Linked DNA regions of Canis lupus familiaris. The protein of the gene in region 2 interacts with the protein of the main gene of each other region in a biochemical or structural test. Links are inferred from orthologs where the notes say so. Each region holds a gene or a part of one and is shown on either strand. Other genes may lie near its edges.

Region 1 (4,127 bases), on a different chromosome or scaffold from region 2:
ATCTTGTCTAAAAAAGAAGAGATACAAACATGCATAATCCACCCAATTCATCAGCTGAGTAAAGACAAACTTACTAAAAATTCCCCCAGCGATACCTGTGAGAAGTACTAGGGCAAGCTCCTTTCAAGCGTCGCTTATAAACGTATCAGGTTTATTTGTCCATTGTGTAATAACTGGTTTACCAAAACCCTTATGAAACTCTCTATAACGTGTATTTGGTAAAATCGCTCCCACAATCAGCCCCGGACAAAAAGTTTAACAGGCAAATCAAGAAAAAAAAAAAAAAAAAAGCAGCAGCAGCAGAAAGAAAGGATTAGAATTCCTTTCTAATCGATAACAAAGTGTATTTTTATAACTCACATACAAAAGCAGGATTCCCTACCCCATTACAGTTGAGTTTTCAACTTAAATACAGTATCGTACTACTACTGCCGAACCTCCTCAATTCTGCTCGTGCCATATTTATGTTAATACAGGTATGTTTAAACAAACAAAACCTAAGCAAAACAACCTTAAAAATAATATTGCGAAGTTCTGTTTTAGGGTTTCTTTCTGTTTGTTTGCCCAGGTAGATATTGTTGAAGTATCTAATATAACATATTCCTTGGCTATTTCAGTGCCTTTTCTCATGTACAGGTCACTGGAAACTTAAAATACAACCTCTTGAGCAGAACAGTATCCACTCAAAGAACAGAACAACTTCACTTTCAACATTTGATCTAAATGTTGATTTTAATCAGCAGATTCTGTAATTGGTTAATATGATAATGAAATGTTCCTATTCATATCCCTATCTAAAACAGATCTTTAATTACCTAGGGGAAAATCACTCCCTTGGTAGAGTGGTGCTAAGGAGTCCGTGGGTGGGGAGAGGCTGCTGTATCCCTAGCACAGTCATCAGCAAAACATTTACCATGTCCTTCTCAGTGGCCCAATGCTACATTCCCCCTTACTCTGTAAAAAAAAAAAAAAAAAAAAAAGCTCAATCATCCCTTAGCCTCTTGGTGTCTCTTAACCAGAAGTGACCAACCTGAAATAACCAAATCGTTCTCAAGTGGGGATTTTTTTTTTTTTTAACACAACGATCCAGAGCTTGTAACTAGTCACCCTCCGTCTTTTTTTTTTTCTTTTTACAAACTCTTCTATGCCAGTACATAAACTAGCACATAAACATAAACTTAATATTTATTTTTTTAACGTCGAAAAGTAAATTTTCAGAGCAAAGCAGAGCCCACCCCACCCCCATGAAATGGCTCATGCACCTATTAATCGTGGTGGCATCCTAACTGGTGAATAATACACTTTTTTTTTTTTTTTTGCTATCACTTCATTTCAAAAGCGTTTCGTATCAGACCTCGTACCATTCGCTGTGGATGTTAAGACAGGGCTTCCCAGATAGACACGATTTAAAAATAAAAACTAACGCTCGGGCCCTGTGAGTCACACCTCTGACAAATGCCCCTGCCCTCTCCGGGCACCACGAGGCCCGCAGACCCCGCGGCGGCGCAGGGGCCGCACCAAGGGGCCGTGAAACGAAGCGTCTCGAAATAAACCCAACTAAAACCCTTCCGTGCGCTTCGCTCCCGTGGTGGTTAGTGGTTTCTGCTTTTAGCTCTTCCAGCTGTTTGCATGTGGGTATGTTTCCAATTTTTTTTTTTCCTTGGGACAGGCTAAAAGTCCCGGGAAGTTTTTTTTTTTTTTTTTTTTTTTTTTTTTTCCAGGGCTATATGACTCCCTGCGTGGGCGAAAGAAACAGGCGGCTGCTCTAATTCGGCTGCCGGGCAAGTGTAAAGAGCCAACTGCCAGCTTTCAACGCGGCTCCGGGAGGAAATTTACGCGCACATGAAGAAAACAACACCCCCGGTCCTTTTTCTGGGTCTTGGCTTTTTAAGGAAAAACACACACACACACACAGACACGCCGCTCCGGTACCACCGCAGCTCCCCCAGCTCTCGGTTCCCCAAGGCAGCCCCGAGATCGCGTCTAGAGCAGCCTGAGCCCCGAGATACGAAAGTAGCACCCGAGGCGCCTCCCGCCGGCACCCGGGCTGCGATTCCACCTGACCCGAGCCTACGAGGGGGATCCTCCGTGGGGTGGGGGTGGGGGTGGGGGTGGGGGTGGGGGTCGGGGTGCATCAGGGGAGAGCCGGGATTTAGACGGACGCTGGACGTGAGGCACGAGGGGCAACGCCAAGGTGCGTGTGAGCCCCCGCTCCGCTCGAACCTCTCCCCGGACGGGCCCATCGGGGCGGCTCCGGCCGGGACGCCCCCCCCCTTCCGGTCCCCCGACTTTCTCGCTGCTGCCTGCGAGCGCCCAGGCCGGCAGGGCCGGGAGGGGAGGGGAGGGGAGGGGAGGGGAGGGGAGGGGAGGGGAGGGGCCGCCCCCCGCCCCCCAGCGCCCCGACGCACGCCCCAGCTTGGAGCGGCCCCTGTCGCCCGCGCGTCGCAGCGGCGGGACACGCCCGAGCTCCGGGAGGGGGGCGGAGGGACGGACCGACGGAGGGAGGGAGGGAGGGAGGGAGGGGAGCGCCTCTTCCTACCTGGACCAGCTCCTCCGGGGGCAGCCGCGGGCCCGCGGCGGGCGGCGGCGCCGGCTGCGGCGGCTGCGGGGGCGCGGGCTGCGCCTGCGGGTGGTGGTGCGGGTGCTTCAGCTCCTCGCCCGGGAAGAGCGCCGCGTCGCGGGCCGGGTTCGCGGCGCCCAGCACGGGCTTGAGCTGCGCGAACACGGGCTCGTCCTGCGGGGCCGGCGGCTGGGGCACGGGTCCCAGGCGGGCGCTCATCGTCAGCACCCGCGTGGCCATTGGCACTCGCGGGGGGCGGGGGGCGGGGGCCGGCGGCTCCGGGCGCGGGTCGGGCGCGCTTCCCACCTCGCCCACGCCGACGCGGGCCGGCGAGCTCGGCGCGGGGCCGCGGGCGGAGAAGGGGACGCTCCGGGCGGGCGGACCCCCTCAGCCAACAGCCGGCGCGGTCTTCGAAGGCGCGCACGAGAAGCAAAACTCTTCCGCTCCGCCACGCGCAAACGCCAACGTCTCCGCGGCGGCCACTTTCTCCCGCCCCGCCCCGCCCCGCCGCGCCGCGCCGCGCTCTCTCACTCGCCGGAGCCCGCTCCCGCCACCGCCGGTCTCCGCGAGCGAGCTGCGAGCGCGCGTACCTGCCCCGCGACTACTGACACTTGACGCCCGCCTCTATTTTACCCAACTCCGGGTGGGCGGGGCCCGCCGGCCTGACTGGCAGCGCCGCAGCGAATCCCGGTGCCCCGAGGCCGGCCGGGCCGGAGGGCGCAGCCTATGAGGAGGGAGAGGCTCACGCGGGCCCCGCCCCCGCCGCGCTGACCCGCCCCCTCGGGCCACGAGCTTTCGCGCGCAGGGCGGCCGCGCAGTTTGTACACAACTTCTCTGACAGATTGGGCTGCCGGAGCCGGGGGCGGAGGAAAGGAGAGGCGCGGGTGGAATCTAGGAAGAGAGGGAATCGGGGTGGAGACGTGGAGGGAGATCTCTCCAACTGTTCTCCGCCAGGGCTAGGGAGAAAAAACAAGAGGTTTGCACGTCTTAGGTGTTGTGCAAGGGACCTGAGACTCCAAAGCCGAGAAGCCCGGCAGGCAGCGAGGTGGGGGCGCCGAGGGTTCGAGGGGCTTCTCTCAGGAGCGTGTATTTTTAAATATACAAAATGTACTTTTCTTTAGCGGAGAACTAGGGGCGGTGTGATAAGCAAATTTAAAAACAGCTCTTGTGTCTGTGTGTCTTCAGCAGTGAACGTGTCCATCTGGAAGGTCCTGAATAAAAGGTTTAATGGCCAATAGATTTTTTTTTTTTTTTTAAGTCCTGGCATAGGAGCTTGTTTTCCCCTACACTATGTAAATGGCTGGAAAGAAGGTTTCACACCCAATTTCTACCTCGTATCTGTATGGGGAGGAGGAGGATGGGAATATGGGGATATGAATTTTGAAGTTTTTGATATTTACAACTTTTGATTCTAGCCGAAGCCTGGAATCTAATTTAAGCCCTAACGACTAGTTCCAATGTATTTAAATAGAGATTACATCTTTGACTTGTTTTTGCTAGCACTGTATGTTCAAAAAAAAAAAAAAAATGGAGCTCAATATTTACAAAACAGAAACGTGGCACATTT
Region 2 (3,500 bases):
CTATAATAATATTGCTACCTCTTTTCTCAATCTAATTGTTTACTTAAATGAGAATATTATATGCATTAAGGTTCTGAACATATCACAAAATATAAAAACAACTTCAGCCAAATTCCCTCTCCTCCAAATGTATAACCTTTTCTAAGTTAACACGTATATTTATTACCTATCAATACTTTGTGACATAGGCCGTATTCCATGAATTAAGAAACAAATATTCCAAGAATAGAGAACTGTCAGTACTGGGACTATATACTAATCTGCTGATTGGTAATGGGCAGTAACTGGCAAATAAACTATATAAGTAATAGAAAAATTTTCAAGTTGAAAATGCTATCTTTCAGAAAATGAAACACCCATTTTCTAAATTTGCTATTAATTTAGCTATTTCAAATATGACAACCCACTCAAGAATATCATGTTCAAATGTAAATAAAAAAAATCAGTTTAGTCAAATTTACTTCCTTATGACTACAAATCAGTAGCTCTTTGATGGTAGAGGAGCCTGATGCAGAAAGGCTCCACTTCCACTTTGAGTGGGAATGGGATCGCAATTACATGGTCCATCAACTTTCAGCTATCAAGGCAAAGGGACAGCTTTTGGCCAAATTAATCCTCTGCTAAGGAGTTTATTAAAATCCAGGTTATTTTCCTTTGAGACTATCTACCCATTAATTAATAGAGGGAAATGCAGGGCTACAAAGTTTCAGGTTCTAAGACAAATATTTATATTTTAGAGGAAAAAGATCACAGAAAAGCTGAAACAAGTTATTTAAATAAGTTCAAAATTTACACTTCCTTCATGCCAATTTTAAAGTATATGTAAACAACAGGATAATCTGATTTGTCTTTTTTTGGATTGTATTAAATCAGCAATTTGACAGCGATTATCGTTTTAGTCAAAACAATCTCATGATTCATCAGTGAAGCGTCTAAGGGATACAAGAGATAGGATCCCTTACCTGTAATGAATAGACTCTATTAGTATGCCCCTGCAACGTGTGTAGACAGGTCTCGGTCTCCGGATCCCACACCTTCACCATAAAATCATATGCTCCACTAACAACCCTCCTGCCATCATACTGAACACAGCGGACTGCTGCTACATGACCCATCAAAACATGTAAACACTGGCCTGTCTCAATATCCCAAACCCTAAGAGTGGCATCTCGAGAACCGCTAACAACTCTGTAGTGGGGAAGACAGAAAAAAAGAAGTATTAGAATGTTTAATAACATGAGAAAATATGATATATAAAGTCAGTGGTTACTGAACTTTTTCCTTTCTTACTTAAGCAGGAATACCTGTTTTCAAAGAAATCTTATGTAAAACCTTGATACACAAACATACAGAAGTCAAGCTACTTTGGTTGGGATGGGAAGCTGGGAAGCCCAGAATTCCACCTGCTTAGTGTCCCGCATTTATAAGCGGCTGCATAGTGTCTGGGGTTCTGGGGGACGGTTTGAAAACCGCTGTATTGTATTTGAAGCAGAAGCAGCAGCAGCTGCCGCCGGCTCCAATAAATACAAGATCTTGATTTTAGAAATAAAATGCTAACGTGAGCAACATGTATAAAATGTTAATGGCAGAACTCCGGTGGTAGTATTTTGAAAAATTTTATATTTCTTTTTTATTCTTTCTGCCATTTCCCAAAATTTTAATTATGAACATATATTTTCTTTGTGACTAGGGAAAAATTTGTTAAATGTTATTCAACAAAGCAAATCTGAATTTGGAATTTAAACAGTTAGAGATGGGTGTGTTACACCATTATAATTCTGGTAAAATTAACCTGTTGTAGCATATCCTCTAACAAAGGCTGCTTATGTTTATAGTTATAGTCAACAGGCTATGGAGGTATTAAGATACACAGATTTTAGAAGATACACCCGGGGAGGCAATAGAAATCCCTTAAAAATCTGGCCCAACATTAATAAAGCTATGCTCTTCTGAAGACCAGAGTGATACAAATATTGCAATCACCTCTGGATTACGAAGCAGAGCTGAAAATTCAGGTATCTTCATGTCATTCTTAAGAGATAAAGATAGGCCACAGTTGCCACATTTGGAAGAGTAGAGGAGAGCATTGAGAGATTTAAGTCAGAATATAATGAAAACTGAAATACAGGGTCTCTTAATATCAATACCCCAAATTTTAATAGCACACACTGTTCAAAGTAGATTCAAATTACAAATGAAAAGGTAGCTTTCTTCACATATTACAAATCGAGCATGAAATCTGCTTAAGGTAATGGTTTTCACAAAGACAATGTTGTGGACAGAATTAACGGTAAGGAGTGGATGGATTCATGGTAAGGTCTGCCAGAGAGGCCTTTTTTGACAAATGAAGTCAAAATCACATCTGTTTACCAGGGTACTGTGAAGACATGCAGATAGAAGATCGAAAGGACTTTAACAGGAGGGCTTTGTAGGAGGAGATCAAAGCAACGGCAAAGGCACCGAGAGGACAAAAAGGCAAGCAGTCTGGTTTGGCTGGAACTATTTTGAAAACTGGATTGAGCATTTCTTCCTTGATTCGATAGACAACAGAAGGCTCTCAAAAGGGCAATGATACTATCATAATTAGAAAAGGATTCTCTGTCAGCTGTGTAAAAGGTGAGAAAACCAAGTGTGAAAGCTATGTAACTAGTTCAGGGGACCGGTAATGAGACACTAAACAGAAATCCATGGGCCTCAGCTTTTGTCTAGACAGAAGGGGATATGATGGAGTGGGGGTAGGGCATGTGGGTAATTAAAAAGGCCCAGAAGTTTGAAGCCTAAGTAACTGAATTTGTCCCACTAGTAGAGATGTAAATGCAAAGCAAGAGAGAGAGAAAGGTTTTTTTGAAGATGATGAGTCATCAGATGCAGAATAATAAAGTGCCACCCAAGATTAGAGAATAGAATTTCAAGGAGGAAGCCAACAAAACCATTAAATGAAGAAGGAAATTTAAAGACAATCCTCCAATTTTAAGCCAATATAGTACTGCTTTGCTAGTATAGAAATATCTGAAGTCTAATAATTAAAGCCTAATTTAAGAGCACATTACCACTATCTCTCTAATAAACAGAATTATACAACTGAACTCTACACAAAAGCCCTCAAATCACAAATAACAGAGGAAGAATTCCCAACCATTACAGGATTTTCCCTTACCTTTTTTCATGGAGATGCATACAGCGGACAGTGGAAGTATGCCCATATAAGGTATGTATACATTCCCCAGTCTCTGCATTCCACACTTTTAGAGTCCGATCTGTAGATCCACTAATGATGATATTGTCTCTCATCTGTGATGACCATACTCCACCTGTGTGTCCCACTAATGTTCTCAGACACTGGAAAAACACTTAAGATGATTACTTTTGGTAGAAAGAAAAACAATTTACATGACATTTCAGTAGCTTATTAAAATCTGAGGTAAAGTTATTTATAAAATTGGATTGTTTCGCAAATCAGAAAATAACTTTTTATACCAATATGTCATGATACCATCACC

Evidence for each region.
Region 1: the proteins of FBXW7 (region 2) and KLF5 form a complex in vitro, tested with the Homo sapiens proteins (2 studies listed by BioGRID, with this or other methods). The link is inferred for Canis lupus familiaris from reciprocal best matches to the Homo sapiens genes FBXW7 and KLF5.

Annotation. Positions count from the first base shown.
Region 1 is NC_049243.1:27,271,277-27,275,403, reverse strand, and holds the start of KLF5 (Krueppel-like factor 5), read right to left. Parts: upstream 2,801-4,127; coding exon 2,540-2,800; intron 955-2,539; exon of another isoform or gene 816-954; intron 8-815; coding exon 1-7. UniProt on the Homo sapiens protein: Transcription factor that binds to GC box promoter elements. Activates the transcription of these genes.
Region 2 is NC_049236.1:50,546,700-50,550,199, forward strand, and holds part of FBXW7 (F-box/WD repeat-containing protein 7), read right to left. Parts: intron 3,340-3,500; coding exon 3,158-3,339; intron 1,189-3,157; coding exon 963-1,188; intron 1-962. UniProt on the Homo sapiens protein: Substrate recognition component of a SCF (SKP1-CUL1-F-box protein) E3 ubiquitin-protein ligase complex which mediates the ubiquitination and subsequent proteasomal degradation of target proteins.